2 linked regions of the Rhinolophus ferrumequinum genome follow. The protein of the gene in region 1 interacts with the protein of each later gene in a pairwise test. Links are inferred from orthologs where the notes say so. Each region holds a gene or a part of one and is shown on either strand. Other genes may lie near its edges.

Region 1 (11,536 bases):
ACTATGTTATTGAAAATTGATTACAATATTTATATTTTCAGAAAAGTGAATGATTCTACCATCTCAGCTTGTATTTCATCACTTTAAGTTAGGAGACCCCTGCCCTCCAAATTTTGACCTGTATATATTAAATGTAAACTTATTTATAGAAGACTTCATCACAGAAGAGATGAAGAGAATTGCTCCAAAAATAGTGTACTGCAAGCTACATAAAGTTATTGATCTTGTATTTCTAAATGCATTTCTGAAATTCATTAGACTTCAACTGTTTTCATTTTGGAAGGAGGTTTTTCTCACTCTTAACCTAAATCATTGTAGAAACAATAGGCAATGAACTTTCGGGGAATAGACTTAAGATAGAACTTGGAAACTAAAAATTTGCCACGCAAGTTATATTTTTACTTTGTCAGTAATAATAACTTCTAATATAACAGTTTTATGATCATTTTTAAGGCTATATGTCTTTAACATGATGAGCTATAACATTCTCTATTTCTCAGTTCATTTTTGATGCATAGCAAATTTGGTTGTTTGTCCTGAATTATTTAAATTAGCTACAGAGAGTCCCCGATTTACATGGTTTGACTTTTCGGCCTTAAGATGGTGTGAAAGCGATGTGAATTTGTTTAGTAGAAACCATACTTGGAATTTTGAATTTCAAACTTTTCTAGCAAAAAGCAGTACTATACTGACTCCTTGATGCTGGGCACGTCAGCACGCTGTAGCTTCCAGTCAGTGATGTGATTACGAGGGTAAGCAACTGTTACTCTACAGTGTGATAGTAAATGCATTTTCGACTTAATGATATTTTCAACTTTTGATGGGTTTATTGGGATATAACACCATCATATGCTGAGAAGCATCTGTATTTATGTAGAAACATTTAAAATATATATTTTAAACTTATGTTACTACTCCCTGCCTTCTTTTCAATTGTTTATAGTAATATCCAAATGTGTGAAAATAAATGCAAATTAATAGTTATGTAAGATTAAATTGCTTATGTAGCTAATAAAATAGTTTTAATAAGAATGTATAATTAGTGAGCTTAACTAGTAAGTGGTACTTTTGTCTTTAGATATACCATCTACATACAAACTTTTCAATTTAAGAGAAAAAGAAATTTATTTTCCATGGATATAAATTTAAATTATATTATCAGTACTAAGCTTATTTGTATAGCAATTAAGCATCTTGTAAGAGCTCAATACGATCAGTTTGTGAATCCATTTGTTGGTTCTAATATCAAGTCATAACCATGTTCCTGCTCTTAGCTCTTGAACTACCTTCTGATGATGACATACATTTCATAAATACGTATGTTGCATGTGAACTTTGCTCATTGGCTCCATCTCCTAATCAACAAATGGGTCTGAAGCTAATTTAATATTATTTTTAGAAAATGTTAAATTCTATTCTACCTTACGTATTACACCCAAAACATTTTGGACTCACCCTCCTTATCATTTCCTATCAAGGAAATGCAATACAATTTAATATTGACCTACAATAAATTTAATTTGGAAGAGAATCTTTTGGAGGAAAAAAACATTCTAGAGCCCTGAAGAATTCAATTTATAGTAGAAAGAGCATAATCCTTTGAGCATATAGAAATCTTTGGACAAATAATTTGATGTCATATGAGATAATAGATATAAATAGATATAAAATGTCCTTGAAAAACTCAGTTACTAGGCACAAGTAAGGTGTAATTTGGTCTATGTATGCCATAGTTCCTTTCTTTGGTATAGATGATTGAAATTTGAATTTTTAAAAATTATTTAAACCTTTTAATTAGTGTATTGCTCTCAAATATGTTTAACAAAGGCTTCTTGACTCTTTAAGTGGATTCAATTACATGGGTTTCTAATTTAATAAGGTTAAACTATTTTCTGATATTAGATCTTAATGCTTTCCAAGGTTGCTGATTTAATTTTTATCTCTCTGACAAAAATAAAATATATGTTCTAAGTTAAGCTTTGACTTCGCTTACTCAAGCTATTTGTTGAAATTTATTATACATTCTATTAATGGGGTGGAAAGTATATTGACATTTGTTGCACCCACTATGTTCTAGGAACTGTGCTAGGCGTTTTATACATCATAGATCATGTAATTCTTCCAACAATTATTAGAGAATGGTATTAGTTTCCCTAACTTAGAGATGGAGAAAAGAGAATTCAGAGGGTTCAGTAATTCGCAAGGGTAAACTGGTTTGCAGCAGAGTCAATATCGAAACCCATCTCAAAAACCTTTATATTTTTCAATATACTACCCTTGCTCTTGTCTGTAAAGATAAGAAACAAATGGAGGTGATTATATTCCAGAGTCCACTTGGACTGAACTAAATTTACCAAATTTAGAAGCATCCCTCAGGTAGGATTTTCCCTGTGAAAAGATAAGGGGATTAGGAAAATTAACATTTAGTTCCAGGAGTTAGAATTGAAAATTTTGAGACTTTTGTTCTCAGGCCCATTTCCTTGGAATTCCTGAAGTTAAAAACATTCAAAGAATTTTTGATCAATTATAAGCATAGCACTGTATTAAGAGCTCACCACTTAAATAACAAGTTCTATCATCTCAGACATGGGTTTTGAATCCTGCAGTTCTGGTCTTCATAACCTTACTGAAACTTTCCTGTCAGTTCTAACCAAATTTTAGATGTACTAACTTTTTAGGCAAAAATCCTAAACTATATCAACATAAGAGTGACTAAAACAATACAAGAATACATGCATACTAAGAAAATAAACAGTCGAGATAGTTTAAAGCAATATTAAGTCAGAAAACGACAGCAAGATCCTCAAACTTGAAGGGGAATATGAAGGAAATATTAAGGAGTGTGTCAGTTTGATACAAAATTTTATGATGGCATTAAGAGATTAAGGGCTTGAAGTGGTAGTCACCTTCATTACCAATGGTAACTCCATAAATTTAGCCACTATGACAAAAAAAGTTTGGGGACAATAATGATATAGATTAAGATATAAAAACAAATAATTTCTTAGTTCAGCAAAGACACATTAACATAACTCTACAATACAATTTTATCTTTTTACAAATCCTTTAGAAAACAGATTAGATTTCATGTAGCATTCAGAAGAGTCAATGTAGGGTAGTGAAAAAAAACCACTATTAGTCTGGGCTGGTATTCAGGAAACTGAGATGTTCTGGTGCCAGAGCGACCCTTAAGTTATATAGTGGTGATTCACCTACATTTTGGGGCTTTTCATTCAACTCAAGCATGAGGAGTTGGATTCCTTAGTTATATTTAAGAGTCCTTCTAGCTCAAAAATGTTAGGATTCTAAGTGCTTTTGGCAGGAAACCCATGCAGATATTCAGGAAGGAAAGAGGTTACTGTTGTTAAGAAAGCTAACATTGTTGACAAAAACAGTCATTGTGTGAAACTGTGTCGCTAGGAATAAAGGAATTCATCCAATGAGACTTAAAGAATTGAAAGATTTTTAAATGAGTAGAACAATTTTTGACCCTGGCCCTGAGATAATTTAGGGCCATTCAAAATACACACACACACACACACACAAACACACACACACACACTCCTAATTTGATTGATAAATCCGTATATCCTTAATTTTAATCAAAACATCACAATGTATGAATATTTTAAAGGAATCGATTTATGGAAATACATAAAATTCATGTTTAATAGCACTTTCATATATTTGAAACGGAAAATCCTATTAAATGAAAACTGTAAAATCCCTCTCCAAAATGTAGAGTTAACCTTAAAATTTTGCCCAAGGATTTTTATGAAATATACCTCTAGCTTTTAAATTGCTTTTCTTAAAATCATAGATATAAAAATGCTCAATAAATAAATTTGAATTCCAAGTTAAGTTTATTTTCAAACAGTAAGCCCTGTATTTTAAACACTATATGATTTAAAAATTTTTAATTACCATATATAATATAGTCACCAAAAACACTAAAAGTATACTCTGTTGACATGTCTGTATCTTACCTGAAAAGAGAAAATTTCACCCAACTAAAAATTTTGATCCATATTTCCTTCAAATCGTCAGAATACAGCTTATGCTGAATAAAATTAATTTTGGTTTGCTGAATCAGCACATTCCTTTTGCAGATTCAACATTACATGGCTTTTTAGAAGTTTAGCTGAATTATCAGCAGTTTTATGCAGAATTGCTTTGGAGTGAAAAAGCATCCAAAGGGTTTTGCCAAAAAAAAAAAAAAAAGAAAAGAAAAGAAAAAAAAAAATCTTATCTGAATATTTATTCTCACTTAAAAAATTCTTTATTAGCATTCTAAAGAAATTTATAGCCTTTGAGTGTGAATACAATGACAAAGTAAGAACTCTAGTGACAATGAAAAGTGTGCATCAGTCTTGCTAGGCTCAAGGCAAAGTTATATTAAGATAGCTTACAAATAGCTTTAGACAGGAGAATATTCAGTATAAATCTGTTAAAAAAATTATTTTAATTTCCAAATAAATTCATGTGTAAATTGTAACATTAAATTGAATGCCAAGAAGATGCATGCGTTCAATTCAACCTAATACTAAGGGGGTAGTTTGGTATGCCAAAATAAATCTAAAGGGATCGGTAACTTTCATTTTAAATGACACAAACTCCTAACATAAATTAATCGGATCAATGAAAGGGAGACATAAAATAATTATTTTCAAATATAATATAAGGGAACGGAAGATACAAATTTTCTTTAACCCCAAAAGTTGTTCGGATGTAATAAGGCATGACAAAACCTGTCTTCATTCCTTTCTATTCAGCTCAGCAAGTGCTTTTGAGCTCCAATAGTTAATCAGTTACCAGATTCCACAATGTTTTTTTTTTTTTTTCCACACTCCTCAATTCTTGCTGTGAATTGTTCCTCTAATGTACTTAGGATCACCAAGGAAGCCAACACCATTTTTTTCTTTGCACCTTAAAAAAGCAATTATTATTTCATCCACAATTAGATTTATCATATAAAATTGTTCCTGTGTAGCAACAGTCTATAAAACATAATAGGACATTATCAAAGAAGTAGATGGCTTAAGGTGAATCATTAATAGGTGAAATATATTTAGCAAAATTGTTCAACTCAGCTTTTTAAATGACTGTATGCCCAAGTCATGCCCAACTTACAAAAAGGTATAGCCAAAGTGTATTATATACCAAATAACCTTTATCCAAACAAATCAGTGAACATATATGCAAGTGTTACAAAACCATATAGAACCAGTTTTACATAAAAGGTATAATGCAGTTATTATCATATTAAAAATAGACATCTTAAAACATCATTTAATTTAACCTTCCAAAAGTGCACAGAATACTGAGAAATATATAAAAAAAAATGTATTAACTTACCCTTCAATTTATTTAGAAACCCTCTGCTCTTGGTCAAAAGCAGGTGTTTCACTGCTGACTTTCCCTGAAGCTATGAACTTAAACAGTAAATCAGTGGAAGCCACCTCGCTGGACCACGCTAGAGTTTACTAGACACTACTGCTATGTGGAAGAGTTGTGCTGCATCTAAGCTATATACAGTGTGCAATGGATAACCTAATATGTCTTTCATTTAACTGGCTGGGCAGGTTTCTACCGTCTGTGGAACATGGAATCAAACCAGAATATGTTGGCATAACAGGCCAGTCAAACCGGTTCTTCTGTAGGTCCAGAACCTGTCCAACCAGTCTGCATCAAAGGCTAGCCTAACAAGCTGCAGCGGCTCAGTTCTGCTAAGCTTGTACTGGGTGAGTTATCCCCACCTGCAACTTCCAATAAACTGCTCAGAATGTTGTAGCCTCCAGCAAAATAATTCAGAGTTCTAGTGGGAGGGGTAGATCTGTGTCAGGTATAGCAAGAGTCCATTGTTATAAACCTCTCCGTGAGTATCTATCGTTCTCCGAGGTAGGTAACCCTTTTTAAAATGTACTCTAGGGCTCTGCACGCTAAAGCTTCTAGAAGGAGAATATCTACATGAAGAACCTATAGTGTTTAACCTTTTCCACTAGTCCACTTGGCTCTATTCAGTCTAGCTTAGCCTTAACGTGGAGGTTGATATTCCCACAAGAGTAGTGGCCCTGAGAGCTAGAAGGAAGCATTTCCAGAGGGAGGAAAACAAGATGGAGATTGACTAAACATTTACCTGGGTGTGTTAATCTTCCTTGTACTCAAAAGATCCTTATACCATCCCAGTCTAAAATTGGAAAAATTCCTATTTCTATATACTAGGACAACTTGGAGAGGTTTTACTTTGGATATGCAACAGCTGAACACAAATTACTGATATCTACTAGGTGCCAGAAGCTGTGCCCGGTACAGGGTTACAATGATGAAAAAGACACATTTAGTAAGAGGTGGGAGGACTGTCCAAATTTCTAGATAAGCATGTCTAGGAATCTTTTGGAAAGAAGGAATGAGCAACACAAGATCATATATTGATGGAAATTGGTTTGTGTTAAGGGAGACCATGTGAGATTTGTTCTTACTCTGTCATAATACTTGCACATTTCAAATCAGTCTTTTCTATCTATTGATGCAGCGATTCTCAAATTTCCTTGCTTAAGTACCTCCTGAAATGCTGATTAAGAACACAAATTACCGGGTCTCACCTCCAGAGATTTCGTCCGGGGTGGAGTGTTACTAATAGGTCTAGGGTGTTACTCAAGCACTTGTGATTATGCTGCAGTTGTTGCAGGGACCACAGGCCCAGACTCCTGCTTCTTTTCTATTTTTTTGTACTTAATTAAATAGGATACATATTAATCCAAAGTTGCCATTTGTTTTTGTGTCTCCAGTGTCTAAAACTCCAACACTTAGAAAGTATTTAATAAATGCTTAAGTAAATATCTACTCAACACCAGCACTTGCTAGATCCAAGGGGAATTACAACTAGTAACTATTATGTGAATCAAACTGCATTAGGTACACAGGAGCACAGAAAAGGGAGCAAATATGACTGAATAGGGGAAAAACTGCACAAAGGAGATGGGTTTAGAGCCTTTCTTAACCGTGATCAAAGATTGATATCTGCAATATAACAAAAGGTTGAGGGAACAATGAAAAGAATGCCTTTGATTTGATACAGTAATAAAAGTTTTAAGTACTTGAGGACACCATGACCTGAAAACTTAATAATAATGTTATTTTCTAGAGCAGGGCTTAGCAAATTTTTCCACAAGGATCAGAGAGTAAATATTTTAGGGTTTTTGTTTCAACTATTGAACTCTATTTCAACTATTGAACTCTAACATGGTAGTACAAAAAGAGATGTAAACAATAGTCAATGAATGGGTGTGGCTTTGTTCCAATAAAACTTAATAAAGTGACAGGCTGGATCTGGCCAATGGGCCATGGTTTGCTGACAACTGCTCAAGAGTGAAACTGGTGAAAATTAACAAGATTGGTTAGGAAAATGGACTTGGGAGTCAGAAAAATGGGTTCCTTCCTAGTTTTGTTCCATATTAGCTTTGTCACCTGAATCAAGCATTCATTTTATTTACTTAATGTGGGTGAAAGTAATAGTTGCTATCTCCAAGAGTTATTCTATGGTTCAAATAAAATAATTCACATGAGGCTTTATCCAAAAATCTAGTACACAATAAGCACCCAATAAAATGTCAGCTAAAAATAAAACTGTAGTTAAACAGTAGTTGACATGGTTGTTTTTTTCATTATTTCTTAAAGTCCCACTACAATGACCAAAACAGTAAATAGCAAAGAACAAAAACAGCATGAACTCTTAAGGATCAAACAGAATGAGAGAGGTAGCACACAAGAGATGTCCATAAATTTTGGAAGAAGGAATGTGCATAGGTGATGACTGATTTAGCAGAATAGAGAAAGAGGAAGTCTACTTGCAATGATAAAAGAAAGTCTATCTTTGCTGCAGAATCCTAGAAAACTTCTGGAATTGGCGGCATCTCTAAATGGTTTGGGGGAGTTTGGGGAAAGGCTTTAAATGGAAGGATTGGTTGACAAAAGACAGGCAGGACTTGTTGATTCATGCTGGGAGAGATTGTCCCAGATTGGTTCTAGACTTGAAAATACCAGGCAGAGATGAAGGCGAATGGTAAAGTACTACACTGAAAGCAATGAGATTGTACTAGTTTCCTATGGCTGCTATAACAAATTACCACAAACTTAGTGGTTTAAAAGAACACAAATTTATTGTCTTACAGTTCTGGAGGTTAGAAGTCCAAAATGGGTCTTACTTGCTACAGTTAGGGTGTCAGCAGGGTTGAATTCCTTTCTGGAGGCGCTGGGGGAGAATCTGTTTCCTTGTCTTTTCCAGCTTTGAGAGGCTGCCTGCCTTCCTTGGCTCATGGCTCCCTTCCATCTTCAAAGCCAGCAATGGCCAGTCAAGTCTTTCTCACATGGCATCATTCTAACACTGACTCTGCTGCCTTCCTCTTCCATATTTAAGTCTAACTGTGTAATACAGGATAATCTCCCCATGTTATGTAACATACATATTCATAGGTTCAGGAGATTAGAATGTGGACATCTTTGAGAGGCTGTATCCTGCCTACCACTGAGATTAAGTCAAAGTCTCTATATTGAGTGGTGAGATGCCCAGGTCCATACCTCTGCTTGGCTTCTGAATGCCAGTAACCAGGTTCATACTCCTCACTCAGAAAGCAGGAAACTAGAGAAATTCTCTCCAAGAAAATTTCAAAACTCTCCTCACCCTAATGCAGTGGTTATTAACTAGGCATGGTTGTACCCACGGGGCCATTTGGCAATGTCTGGAGAAATTCTTGATTGTAAATAACTGTGTGTGAAGGGTGTGGAGGGCAGAGGTATGCCATTGGCTTCTACTGCACAGAGGCCAGGGATGCTATTAAGCGTCTTAAAATGAACAGGACAGCACGTCCTCCCTTCTCCCTGCCCCAACCCCCACATAATTATCCAATTCAAAATGTCAATAGCGCCAAAGATGAGAAACCCTAGCCTAATATTAAGCCTATAGCCAACATCACCCTAATATAAATAAATAAATCCCACCTAGACACAGAGAGCATTTTTATGCCTCATTCTAAGATATAGAGAACACCTAACATGAAAGAGACAAAAAAGGAACCAAGAGATAAAAAGAATTTATAGAAAATTGTCAATGTAGGGAGAATAATAATAATTACAAACCCCACCTATATTAATATCTTCAAAAACCTAGAAGTACTGATTACATAAAACAAGAACAGAAGGCTGTCTAACAGTGAAACTTTTGGAGAATAAAAAAGGTATTGGAGAGTAAAAAATATGATAGCAGAAATAAAAAGTCAACAGCAGTTGGAAGGTAAAGTTGAAGAAATCTACCAGAAAGTAAAATTAAGAAACTACTAAATGATGTGCTACGAAATAGGAGTAAATTAAGAAAGATGAAAACATGGAATCCAGAAGTGTCTCCACTTCTTTTTGCTTAAAGTTCAACATGGCCACCAGTCCCAAGACCACAGCACCAAATAGGGTCCTTGCACACCAGTAAGTTATGGAGACTGTGATTTTTACTTTAAAATCATCTTGCCTATGACTGAAAGAAGGAAAGAGAGCGAGAGGAAGACAGAGGGAGAGAGGATGGGAAGAAGAAAGGGAGGAGGAGGGAAGAGAGAGAAAGAGAAGAGAGAGAGAGAGAGAGAGAGAGAGAGAGAGAGAGAGAGAGAGAGAAAGAAAGAGAGAGAGAGAGACAGAGAGAGAGAGAGAGAAGATGTGAATATGATTGGTTTTTACTATGAGAATTAAATTTAAAAGTTTTTTAAATTGCAAGTGTTACATTCACTTTTCACCAAGGGTTAATGTTCAAAGATCATAAAATGAGGAAGGCAATAAAACTGTTACAAGTACAAACTTGCACCTGCAGAAAAAAGTGTTCACATTTATGTCTGCCAATATTCATAAGTAAGTGTTTGCAAAATACTATCCAACAGCTAGTAAAACAGGATCACTATGAAATTAAGAGCATATTTTATCTGAATAAGCCCAAATCAAGAAACCTGATTTTGAGCTTGCCTCAGTTACTCTTAGGGTATGTAAACATGGATTAGTTATTTATTTAACATTCTGAGCCTCAGTTGCTTCATTTATTAAATGATGGAATTTGATTGGATATATTCTCAATATCTATTTAGCTCAACACTTTTATTTGAAAGTTTTTTGGGCAAGTGAATAATTCAAAAAATGTGGGAGCAAAGGCAAGATAGCCAATCAAAAAGACATTTTACAGAAGAACAATTTTAAAACGCAAGCTTGTGTCCTCCAAAAGCTGACACAGATATGGGTTCAGGTGCAAGTGATTTATTAGAAAGGTGCTCCAATATGAAACCAGTCAGGGAGGCGGGACTAGAAAGGAGAATAAAAAAAAGCAAAAGTATGACTTTAGCATCAGCCTGGCCCCAAGGAGCTCCAGAGCATAAATCACAAAGAAAGAGTTTATCCCACTTGGAGGCAAAGGAACTATGTTTTCATTCCCCTGAACCAGTCATGGCTACTGGCTTCTTCAGGGATTTGTAAACTTCCAGGCACTTTTGGCTGTCCAAGACAAGTGGTCTAGTAGCCCAAGAACATTCCTTTGAAGAAGTTTGCAGGCACTATAACATTAAGAATGAAGCATTAAGACTTCTGCTTCCAGCCAAGATGGAGTTATAGGAATCAGATTTACCTTACCACCTGAAAAAACAAGAACAAAATGTATAAAACAATGGTTTTCAAAACACTGTATATCAGTTAACAAAGACTATTATCTGTTTAAGAGAAAGCAAACGAACAAGGCGAGCCCTATAATCACCTCCACAGAATTTCCAGGTCATGGCGAGCAGAGGGGTAACCCAGGTAGACTATAGTGGTCTCACAGAAATTGTCAGGTTGGATAAAAATGCAAAACCCAACTATATGCTGCCACCAATACACATACTTTATAAAATATTAAAACCCACATAGGTTAAAAGTAAAACGATCACAAAAGACACACCATGCTAACACTAATCAAAAGACATCTGGAGTGGCTATATTAATACCAGACAAAATAGGTTAGATGAAAGAATATTACCAAGAACAAAAAGGGTCTTTTCAAAATGATAAAGGGGCTAATTCAGCAAGGAAACCTAATTCTACATATAAGGTCAGACAGTGAAGTGCGCGAACACATCCTAGAAAAATTTCTACATATCTCATTGCTGAATATCACTATGTTCACCTTTGAAGTACTCCCCTTGGGAAGCTATGCACAGATGCCAGCCCCTAGTCCACCCTTCAAAGCAATTTTGGAACTCTTTTTGGAATGGCCTTCAGAGCTGTCGTTGTGTTACACTTGATGTCCTGAATGTCATCAAAATGTCTTCCTTTCAGTATTTCCTTTACCTTCAGGTAAAGAAAGAAGTCATTGGGGCCACTTCAGGTGAGTAAGGAGAGTGTTCCAATACAGTTATTTGTTTACTGGTGAAAAACCCCCTCACAGACAATGCAGTGTGAGCTGGTACATTGTCGTGATATCAGAGCCATGAATTATGGTGAAAAGTTCAGGTCTAACTTTCTCAGGCAGCCTTTTCAG
Region 2 (11,342 bases), on another chromosome or scaffold:
AAGAAGAACTCAAACAGCAGCTATCTGTAGTTATACAGTTCTATGTACATATATGAATATTATCATATAGAGATACACATATGAATAACATATATATACAAATATTTAAGCAGTTGGTAAAAGTAAATTAAGTGACACCTCTCCCTCCTCTCTCTCTCTCTCTCTCTCTCTCTCGCTCTCTCTCTCTCTCTCTCTCTCTCTCACACACGCACACACACACACCCCAATTTTATCTCCATTAAGAGCATGGGGTCAGCCTCCCGAGACCAGTCCTAAACATAGACGTTTACTGTGAGAAGGGGGTTTCAGTCATCGTAAGAATACAAAGTGTAGGCCACAGGGTAACAGCAGAGCATCACAAAAAATAAAGTATTTGAAAAAGACCATAAGACACATAGAAGAGCTAAATGTGGGCAGGGCATCTCCCCCAAATACTCATTTCAAACAAGAGCCTCTTTAGAAAATAAACACATGGAAGGTCCCACTTGTTGCCTAAAAGTCACGGAGTAGGTAACAGATACCTTTCCTCTAGAGAGGATATCCAGTGGTGCTCTGAGAAGGAGGAAAGACACAGAGGCAGGAATCACGCAAGTATGTGTAGGGAGCAAACAAGTGGGGACCTGAGTGGATACGCCAGAAAAACTGTGGCTGAAGTTTATGAAAGAATTTGCTCAGCTAAGTGCTCAGGTCTGACAGGCTGAGTCACGGTACTGCGGGTTCTGAAATAGGAAGATGAAATGAACAGTATAAATGGTGGGGTCTGTCAGCGCACACATAAGCCACCACTGACCTGACAGTTGCCAAATACCCAGCTCTGTAGCTGGCACTTCAATGCAATCTTTGACATTGAAATTTAAAGGGAAGAGGGACGCCTCAAAAAAAGGAGGGAAAGGGAATGGTACCTTTATGCTTCTGTCCAAGTTGACTCACCTCATAGAAAAGTCCTTCTGGAAACTGCTGGAAACACTGAGCGCACACGAAACACTGTTCATGGTACAGCTCGCCATTACTGTTTACAATCTTCTCGGCGGGCGCAAAACCCCCCCTGCAGCGCTCACAAGTGGCGTTAGCAAGGGCATTGGCCATGTTGCTGTAACACAAAGGACAGGAAGTCACGGATTGCCAACCTTTTCTTAGACGTAAGAACAAAAAAACACAAAGAACTAAAGAGCGCATTCTATCTGATCATAAAAAGATTTTATCTATAAAGGCCAATTTCTTGCTTGTGTCATAAGTACTCAATTCAGACTTTTCCCATCTCTTTGTCCTAGCACCTTAGGTTCAGAACGGGTCTCTTGCTTCGACCCTGTTTTTCTTTAACAGTTTTGACATTCCTCTTGATCAATATACCATGAATGAGTGCCTACTACCTTTAGGCTCTAGGGAGAGAGATGAAGGTCAAGAATTGCCCTCATGGAGCTCGAGTTTACAGCTTGAAAAGAAGCTTAATTAAAATACCCACAAGTCAGAATCTCAAAGCCAATTTCTCTCCCTTCTGAGAACAGAATCTAAACCACGTCAACTGAATGCCATGTCATAGCATAGACACAGATGATCCCTTTGGTTACATCCTGTTGAAAGCAACTGCTTAAGTAACTCTTAAAACCAGCCAAAATCCCTCAGTCCTATAATCTAATTGACAAGACAAGTATTGAATACTAATATTATAAAATACATCTTAAAATCAAAGAATTTTACCATTATGACAATCATTTTACAGATGACGAAATGTAAGTTCAGGGAAGTGGAGTGACTGGCCCAACCCCACAAAGCTAGTAATTCGTTAAGGGAAGCTACAGGATGAGAATCCAGGTCTCCCACTCAAAATCACAACTGGAATACAGAATCAATTTCAAACACTTGAAAGGACATGATAGGGACTCCACCACACTTTACAATGAAGAAAGTAAAAGCAGGCATCAAGTTACTGACGATGAGCCCAATGACTTGTAACTCCCTCGCCAGTCATTCCACTCTACTCAGGAGGCATCCAATAAATGGTCCCAAGATTTGTGCACTTTGCAAGAAAAGCATATAATCAGATAATTAGTTATTCTCTAATAGGCCCTCTGAACTTCACGTAAAGAACTGTTTTGTTTCTGGAAGGTCTCCAAGTGGAGAAGGTCACCTAAGCAGAGTAGTCATTGGCTAAGCCGTCCTTCGTAATTTGGCAAGTTTCTTTTCAGATGCCCACTCAGAGTGCAAACTCTACCTATGTGTCTGGTCCCCTGGGGCAGCTTCTGACCCACCCAGCATTGAATCAGTCCACCTGTACAGGTACTGCCTTCATTCTCCTGGATCTTCACAACCTCCCTGTGAGGCAAGTGGGCAGGCGAGTCTGCATTTTATGGACAGATTAATTGCCTTGTCTCTTACCAGTTTCTAAGTTTTGCTGCTTCTTTAGCAAAAGTGTTCGCACATACCTTGTTTCATCTCCACCTTACCCCAATGGAGGGCAACTTGGCCTTCTTCCCCAAAAGTTTCAAAGAACAGTATTCCTATTTTGTAGCCTTGCCTTAACTTAGCACCATATTCACACTCTAGTACCAATCAACACTCAATTTTAGGCTTAATTTAGGCTTGACAGGCTTCAGTATAGAATTAAAATCACCCTCCCCCCCAAAAAAAAGGAGAAAAGGAGGAAGGGAAGCAGCCTCATTGCTTGGCAAACCTGGCCTAAATCACATATTAAAAGGAATTTTCTACTGTCATTTCAAAATTACTGTAGGTTAGGGAGAAAAATCTGTAAAATTCCCTTCTTCACATGGCTTTGCCATAAGCCAGATAAATTATGGAAGTTTTAGCAAAGCTCTGGGAAGGTTTGTGCTTCCTCTTTTCTTCTGATGAAAATCCACAAAATACATGCTTGATGAAAGTATAGTAAGCCCATACCTGCCCTGATAATTCTTAGTTTTGAGGATGAACTAAGAAATAGTATATAAAACCACTTTGGAAACCAGAAAAGGCTACTCAAATATAAAGCATTTTTATTCATTTAAAACTCTCTCAAAAGGGTTTGGATTCACCAAAACCTCAATGATTTTAATAGAACTCCAAAAAAGCTAGAAAAGAAGACCATTCCAGAATGTCCTGATTCATTATTACCTAGGTCAGTGGTTCTCAAAACTTAGGGGACACTGTGACCTTTTTAAGGGGTTCAAAGGTCATTCCTTTTCAAACTACATCTTTGTGGTAGACTGTGTTTTCTTTATATACTTTTAATCTAAAACAACATATTAGAATAAACGCAGAAGCAGTTATGAGAAACTGTCTTTTATTAAGACAGACGTTAATGAGATTTGCAAAAATGCTACAATGCTACAATTCCTACCAAGCTTTTGTTGTTTTAGAAACACTTTTCATTAAAATATTAACATTAATATTTAATATTACTGTGTAATGGGCTTATTATTTTAAATGAACTAATACTTAAAATATTTCTCAGTTTTAGTTTCTAATGCAGTAAATATTGATAAAGCAAAAACTCTTTGGGACCTTAGTAATTTTTAAAAGTGTAAAGGGGTCCCAAGATCAAACTGTTTATCATTGACTTTTATACTACAGACTGTTTATATTCAAGTTCAAGGACTCAAATAGTTAGAATTAGAAAACAGACACGTTATAAAAAGAAGCACAAAGGTTTTTCGCATACACAGGAAAAATAAACTAGTTTTAGAGATAACATAATATGTATTTTTTGAAGAAGTATTCCTTTTTATAACAAGCAGGAAAAGAAAAGGAACAGAACATTAGAGGAAACTTGCAGGAAAAAAAATACCAATAATCTCATCAACCTACTGAAACTGTTTACATTTCCCTTTCCTGTTTTCGATCCTCTGGCATTATGTATTTTTTTAACGGATTATTTTTTACAGCAGTTTTAGGTTCACAGCAAAATCGAGAGAAAGGCACAGAGATTCTCCACATGCCCCCCCCACCCCCCGTCCCTACACACACGTCGCTCCCATGCAACTAACATCCCCCCCCAGGTGACACATTTGTTAAAATGGATGAACCTGTATTAACCTATGTATTTTTTTACAGCTGATTTTCATATTTTATATTTAATACACAAAATACAAGTTACTTTTTAAACAATCATGAATGATAGTTATAGCTGTTAATTATAATAAATTGGCCAATTTCTCAGAAAAGAATTTCCACTAAAATTTTCAACAAAAGGGTTGATGACAAGGGCTATATACATTGTGATATCTGTAACTATCTATCTATCTATCTACTTACCTACCTACCGATATACACATGTATAAAAGCCTTTAGCACGGAATGTCCGTAACTGCCCAGTCATAATTGTTTTAGCTGATCTACTTCCACAAATCAACCACACACAGAAAACTTGACATCATCAGCTTTCTTTTATTTAAGTGCCTCATTTATCAAAGTATGTGTAACAAATTTTCTATTATTAAAATGCAAAAATGTGTAAATTCAAACAGCATCTTGAGAGTTCACCAAGCATTCTGGTTGCAGTGAAATTATAATTGCCCGGTTACTCTTAAAAAGAGCTCTTTATGACTTGTGAAAATAAATGACATCTGTTGCAATACCACACAGAATGCATTCATGGAAATAGAGAATCAGGTCAATCAAACTCTCCTCTACTCTCAACTCATAAATTGGGGATTTGCAATAATTCCAAGCTTACAACTTTGCTTAAGGTCAACAATCTTACCTGAATGAGTTAGTCTAAATATTACTCTACACTATTTAAAAAAAAACACAACTGTTTGCTAAAACTCATTTAGTAAAACGAATAGATTTAACTTGTAGGGTTAACCGCTTGAACGCATGATGTATCTATCTATATGTCTATCTATCTCCTGGTTACACAACATCCTTTTTTATTCATTCAGTCCCCTAGAGACAGTATTAAGAAACCCAGTTGGCCTACTTCAAACTGCTGACTGTTAAACATAATAAAAATCTGTATCTTTATCAGCAGTCTGCAATTCAATTTTTCAGTTTCCCCCACCTGCCTCTTGTCTGGGGGAAGTTTTAGAGGATAAAGTTTTTCTATTATAAATCCTGACAATGAAAAAACTAACCCTCCCTTTTGGACTACACAATGAAAATGTACTATTATCAGGAACCCACTGAAGAAGACAAAGACGTTCCTACTCTTAATTTAAAGGTAGCACTTTCTTTCACATCAGCATTTCATCCAGCAGAAGGTTTCCAATGCCAGGCAACCTACTTGCCTGCTGGAATATGCTGCATCACCCTGGAAAGCCCCTGCTGAAAGCCAAGGAAATAAAGCCGCAAATGGCTCGGGAACTAAAAGCCCAGGAAGGCTAGGTCTGGAAGAGGGGAACTCCAGGAGAGAGACACTTACAATTTTGCATAAAAGTCACAGAACTCCTTGTAGACTTTTACGTCACTGTGCCTGCGCTGCAGTTTAGACACGGCCCTCTCGTCTTCATTTCCATTAGCCTGGTGGATACCGTTCAGGGCTGTCTGGGGGATTTCTTCATTCTCTGGGATAACAGAGGGGTGCACCCTGCCTGGGAACGCCATCGTTGCTGCTTGCGAGCTGGGAGCCCAGGGCTGAGAGCAGCGGGACAGGAGACGGAGAAACAATGTCCAGGCCTCCCCCGCTTCCTTGCCAGGGTCACTCCCACTGTGCCCACACACGTCAGCCCCAGGCTCGCCAGGGTCGCTCCTGACCCTTCACGTTAAGAGCTCCAGCAGAAAGCAGTCCGTTGTCCTGACAGTCCTGGGTTACTGAGGCGTTTTGGGAGCTCTAGAGAATATTCCACAAAGTCGTGACCCAGTCTTTGCCAAGCAGCCTTCCAGGTGGACTGTGTCTGTTCTCACTGCTGCAGGAATGGCCAGCTTGGCAGGCCTCGAAGAGAAGAAACAGCCACGTGCCCTAGCTGCCTGTCGCTGGGCAGCGACAAGGGCAGCGACAACACGAACACTCTGCCTCTCAACTTCAGTGGGCATAAGCATCTCTTGGAAAGCGTGGAAATTGGAGAGCGTGGAAAACACCCCCGGGAATTTGGGGCCCCTGATAAGCTCCCGGTGAGGCTGGCACTGCTGACACACTCTGAGGGGCACCACGGTGCCCAGGTCATGCATGTGCCCTATGGCTGCCCTGTGAGTCAGTAAAATTAAGAGCTACATCTGACTTATTTATCCTCACCCTTGGACGCAGTAAGAAGTCAATAATGTGTTCAATGAACGGACGCAGGAGGTAATAGGGAAGAGCGGAGCTTATTAGTTAGAAGTCTTTCTATTTGACCTCCAGCTAAGCCTGTAACAGGTGAGCCACTATTTCTTGGTCTTTTCTCAGGACTAAGGATGCCACTGGCATGTCTTATTCTGCCACATTACAGGTCTTATAACAGTGTCAGCAATGAAGATGATGATGTAGGATCATGGGTAATAAAAGGCTTCAGAAGCTTTCTCAAGTCCCAGTGCTCTCAGCACCAATGCGCATCCCACCAAAATCAAGGTAACAAGGGGCGCTTGAGCAAGAAAATCTAGAGCATAGGTAAAAGGTACACTGACGAGCAGGATAGGTCACACGAGAGATAGGAGAGCCATTTTGTCATCAGCAAGACAAAATGCAGCGGAGACTCTCAAGTAATAACTATAAATAACGATATCTAAGTGTTAGTGCTTACTATCATATTCCTATGAGGTAGGTATTATTTACAGATAAGGAAACTGAGGCACAAATTAGTTGAATAATTAGTACATAGGCGGTGCAGTCAAGATTTAAACCTACGTGGTCTTATTCTAGAGCCTCAGGTGTTAATTACTATGTGAAAAAAATGGTTAAACACAATTACTGGAAAGCAGAATAGGTTGACTAGAAAAGCGTAAAACTAGGACTAGAAGCAGAAAATGAGGTCTGGGCTTTCCACTTTGAAGCCCAATGATCTCAGAGTACAGGTCGGAACTCCAAGGCTGTGGATCCTGCTGAGGTGCAAAGCCTGTGGCTGATGGAACAAAAGACTCACCATTTTTAAATAGGAAAGAAACAACCTCAAGGCTTATTTTACAATGACCATGTGGAATATAGAGGGGAGCAAGCAAGACACGGAGGGACATGGACCCAGATGGACACACACACACACACACACACACACACACACACACGAAACAATGCACTGAATTAGGGGTAGCATGATAGGAAGAGGGGAGCCATCCAAGCCTCCTGCCCAGAATACTTCTTCTCTATTAATCTATTTTCTCTATTCACATTTCTACCTCACCTAAGACACTCCTCTTTCTAAAACTCAATCTTTATTTTAATTATCTTTAAACTTCCCTATTTCAGTGTACTGAGACCAAGTCCATGAACATGGGGATGTGCTCTTCGCAGGGTAGAGTCTAGACAATGTCTTGATGGTGAAAAAGAAGCAAGGGAGTCCCACCGCCCTCTGTTCTCAACAATAATCCTTCCAACTTGCCAGTTTACAATTAGCTTTCATATGGATTTAATTTACCCTGTATAAAAATAAACAAGACTGAAATTACCTTCTCAGAGAGCTTAAGTAACCTGCTTAAAGTCACACAGCTAGTAAGTGGGAGGTCCCAAATTCAAATTCAGACATCTGACTCCAATGTTTCTGTTTGTTTAATCTCTTTATAAAATCCATCCTGTATCAGTGCCTCCGGTACTAATATATTTCTCCACACCTAAGGAAAGAAGCTCTATGCCTTTGTTTTCCTTATAAGAGTCTTTACAGTTCTTAATCCATATTAGGTCCAGTAAATGCAAATCACATTCCTTCTCCTGCCAGAAACATCATCAGATCCAAACTATTCTGCCCACACTGAGGTAATGCTACTGAGAGATACCAAACTGCAGGGTAGAACACTGAGGTAGGTATGGGAAGAGTCCCCTTTCCTTTCAGCTCAAACAGTATCCAGGAGGGCAGGGGACAAGTTCTCTACCTTCTTTTAGCCTCCCTCACTTCACATGCCAAAAAATGTAATCTGCAGGAGGGTAGGAATCTTGTTTTGTTCATGCCCATATCATGAATAGAGCCCATCACTTAGCAGGTATGCGATAATTATTTGTTGATGAAGGAACTGGGGTTAATAATCCTTTTACTTGATCTAGCAAACCATGGAAACAATGAAAGAGAAAATTAGCTGACAATCTGCTAAGCACTTTGAGTCAGCAGATCTAAAAATGTAACTAATTATCTTATTTACTTTGGAACAACTGGTCTTATTTCTACTAGACAGAACAGCTGAACTATGAAAAAGCTAATGGTTCACGAATACAAGACACAATGTAGTCTCTTATCTGCCAAGGAATTCGAAATAATCTGAAAGAACTGCAATCAAATTTTTAATTTTATTTTGAAATACAGAGTCACAGAAAGTTGCAAAGATTGTACAGAGAAGTCCTGTGTATACTTTATCCAGCTTTCCCTGGTGATTACATCTTACCTAACTATTGTACAATATCAAAGCCAGGATTCTGACATTGGTACAATGTGTGTATAGGGTAGATACATGTAACCACCACCCTAATCAAGATATAAAACTATTCCATCACTACAGAGATTTCTCCCATGTTATCTGATAGTCACACCCCCCCCCCACCCTGCCATCCCTAACCCCTGGAACTACTAATCTGTTTTTCATCTATGTAATTGTAACTTAGAGAATGTTATTGCTGTGAACTGATTGTGTCTCTCCAAAATTCCTATGTTGAAAGCCTAATCCCCAATGTGATGGTATTTGCAGATAGGGCCTCTGGGAGGTGATTAGGGTTAGATTAGGTCAGGAGAGTGGGACATTAATCCCTAATGATGGGATTAATACCCTTATAAGAAGAAGTGACACAGATCACTTTCCATGGGCCACATGATGATACAGCCAGAGTAACTGTCTGTCTATAAGCCAGGAGGTAGATAGACGCTTATCTGACATCAGATCTGTTGGGGCCTTGATCCTAGAATTCCTAGCCTCTAAAATCTTGAGAAATAATTATTTGTTCTTTAAGCCATAAAGTCTATAGTATTTTTGTTATAGCAGCCCAAACTGACTAAGACAATTACATAAATGGAATCATACTATATGTGGCCTTGGAAGGTTGGCTTTTCCCACTCAGCATATTGCGCTTGAGATCCACCCAAGTTGACTGTGTGTATATATATACATACACACACACACACACACACACACACACGTCAATAGCTTACTTCTTTTTGTTGCTGAGTAGTATTCCATGGTATGCACATAGCATGGTTTCTCTAACCATTTACCCACTGAAGGCCATTTAAATAGCTCTTAGTTCGGGGTTGTAAGTGTCTTTAGTTGTGCTGCCATGGCTGCCTCAATGTCCTGAATCGATTCAAAACGTTTTCTTTTCACAGTCATTTTGTCTTTGGGGATGAGCCAGAAGTCTCACGGTGCCAGATCTGGTGAATAAGGTGGATGAGGACACACCGTCATGTTTTTATTTGACAGAAATTGCTCTACCAGAAGCGATGTGTGACATGAAGTACTGTCATGAAGGAGGATGAAGTAAAGACCTCACGAAAGTGGACTTCCAGAACTGCTTCAGAAAGTGGCAGGAACGATGGGATAAGTGTGTTCGAAGCAAGGAGGTGTATTTAGAGGGGGATTAATGGCAATGTGTCTTTTACTGTAATAATTTTTTTATTTAAACATTCACCGTATTTTGTGATCACACCTCATATAGGGGTGTCAGTTGGTCATCCACTTCTCTTATCCAACTACCATAAAGCAGAGCTAAAAGAAATGTGTTATTTTTCCAAGAGGACAAGAGGGTAATTTGAGGCCAAATAAACACCATTGCTCAAGTTTTATATCCAGGCATTTGGGTACTTTTAAACCATTTTTGGCACTTAATATAGCTCTAACAAATACAAACAATCCATAAGAAAAATATTTATTTGAACTCCCTTGATTGAAACCACTAGTCCCACTACAGTGGCATCAAACAGCCCCGTGAAGTAGGTTGGGAGGCTGTTTTTAAAAAAATACCAAACAAGCCATTCTTGTTTGAACAGAAGGCCTGTTAGGTGTTTTTTGCTGAAGAAGTAGAGTTTCCTAAGGCCTATGATTCCTTAAGGGTTCTTCTCAAGAGATTCTATAATCTGATAAACTCTCCTCATTACCATGGCTAATTTGGGTCTTTGGGAGATCACACAGGACAGCTGTGAACCCCAAACATCCCTTAAATCCACCAAAGTAGAGGAATTTATATTTCACAAACTTAACATTTTCTCATCATCTGCATCCTACACTCTACCACGTACTGAAGCAATCGTTTTCTCATTATGTACTGTGCAGTGTCTGAGTCCATGCAGGCTGTGAAAACAAAACACCAGACTACGTTGGTTATAAACAACTCGAATTTATCCCTCATAGTTCTAGAGGTTGGAAGTCCACGATCAAGGCCCCTGCATGGTCAGGTTCTGGGAAGGACTCTCTTCTCCTCTTCCTGGTTCATCACCAGCACCTTCTCATGGTGGAAGGGGCTAGGGATCTCTGTAACACCACTTTTAGAAGGGCATGAATCCCATTCATGAGGGCTCCATCCTTGTAACCCAAGCACCCCAAAGGTCCCAACTCCCAAGGCAATCGCCTTTAGGGGTTAGGACTTCAACATATGAATTGGGGGGGGGGGGGAACACAAACATTCAGGCCATAGCAGACAGGACTTGGGACCCTTGCTGAGTGCACCTAACAGCTTGTTAGATGCCAAACCACACACAGCATATTTGATGTTACACTGACCATTCTAGCATCCAACAAAGAATGCTGCCAGGCTTCAGATTCCATCAGTCCAGCTAACTCCACGATTTCTGCCAAAACAAATTCCACCCCTGACATAATACATAACCAAAAATAAATAATCTACTGAGAGCTATCATACAAAAATAAACTGCAGCTATTTCCAGGAGCTCAGCCTTCATAATCATGAACATGGCTGCCAAAATTAAAAATCTACTTTTTAATACCTGGTATTTTTAAATTAAAATTCTCTCAAATAGCAACTACTGAATTACACGCTCCACTACCAAATATTTCATCTATGTGGTTTTTAAAACCCATGCTGAACATTATGACCAATTGTCTCTAAAACATGGGACTCTAATATAGGGAAAATGGCTATTCAATGTTTTGTAGCATTCCAGAAAGATTTAAGTATGTGGATGGCTAATCCAAGCACTTGGCAATAACAACTACTAGAATGAAGCTTCTCCAATGTCAGTCAAAGGTTTCCATGAATGGGGTAGTATCCAAATTGTTGAGATGGCCTGGTTAAATTACCATATGGTAAAATAAATTATTTTCACTGTGATTCTCTATCGTACTCGCATGGA

Evidence for each region.
Region 2: the proteins of RBBP8 (region 1) and LIMS1 interact in a two-hybrid assay, tested with the Homo sapiens proteins (2 studies listed by BioGRID and IntAct). The two-hybrid records come from large-scale screens. The link is inferred for Rhinolophus ferrumequinum from reciprocal best matches to the Homo sapiens genes RBBP8 and LIMS1.

Annotation. Positions count from the first base shown.
Region 1 is NC_046302.1:18,507,987-18,519,522, reverse strand, and holds the start of RBBP8 (DNA endonuclease RBBP8), read right to left. Parts: upstream 5,488-11,536; 5' UTR 5,356-5,487; intron 1-5,355. UniProt on the Homo sapiens protein: Endonuclease that cooperates with the MRE11-RAD50-NBN (MRN) complex in DNA-end resection, the first step of double-strand break (DSB) repair through the homologous recombination (HR) pathway.
Region 2 is NC_046296.1:5,784,905-5,796,246, reverse strand, and holds the start of LIMS1 (LIM and senescent cell antigen-like-containing domain protein 1), read right to left. Parts: upstream 5,623-11,342; 5' UTR 5,536-5,622; coding exon 5,354-5,535; intron 1,091-5,353; coding exon 931-1,090; intron 1-930. UniProt on the Homo sapiens protein: Within the IPP (ILK-PINCH-PARVIN) complex, binds to F-actin, promoting F-actin bundling, a process required to generate force for actin cytoskeleton reorganization and subsequent dynamic cell adhesion events such as cell spreading and migration.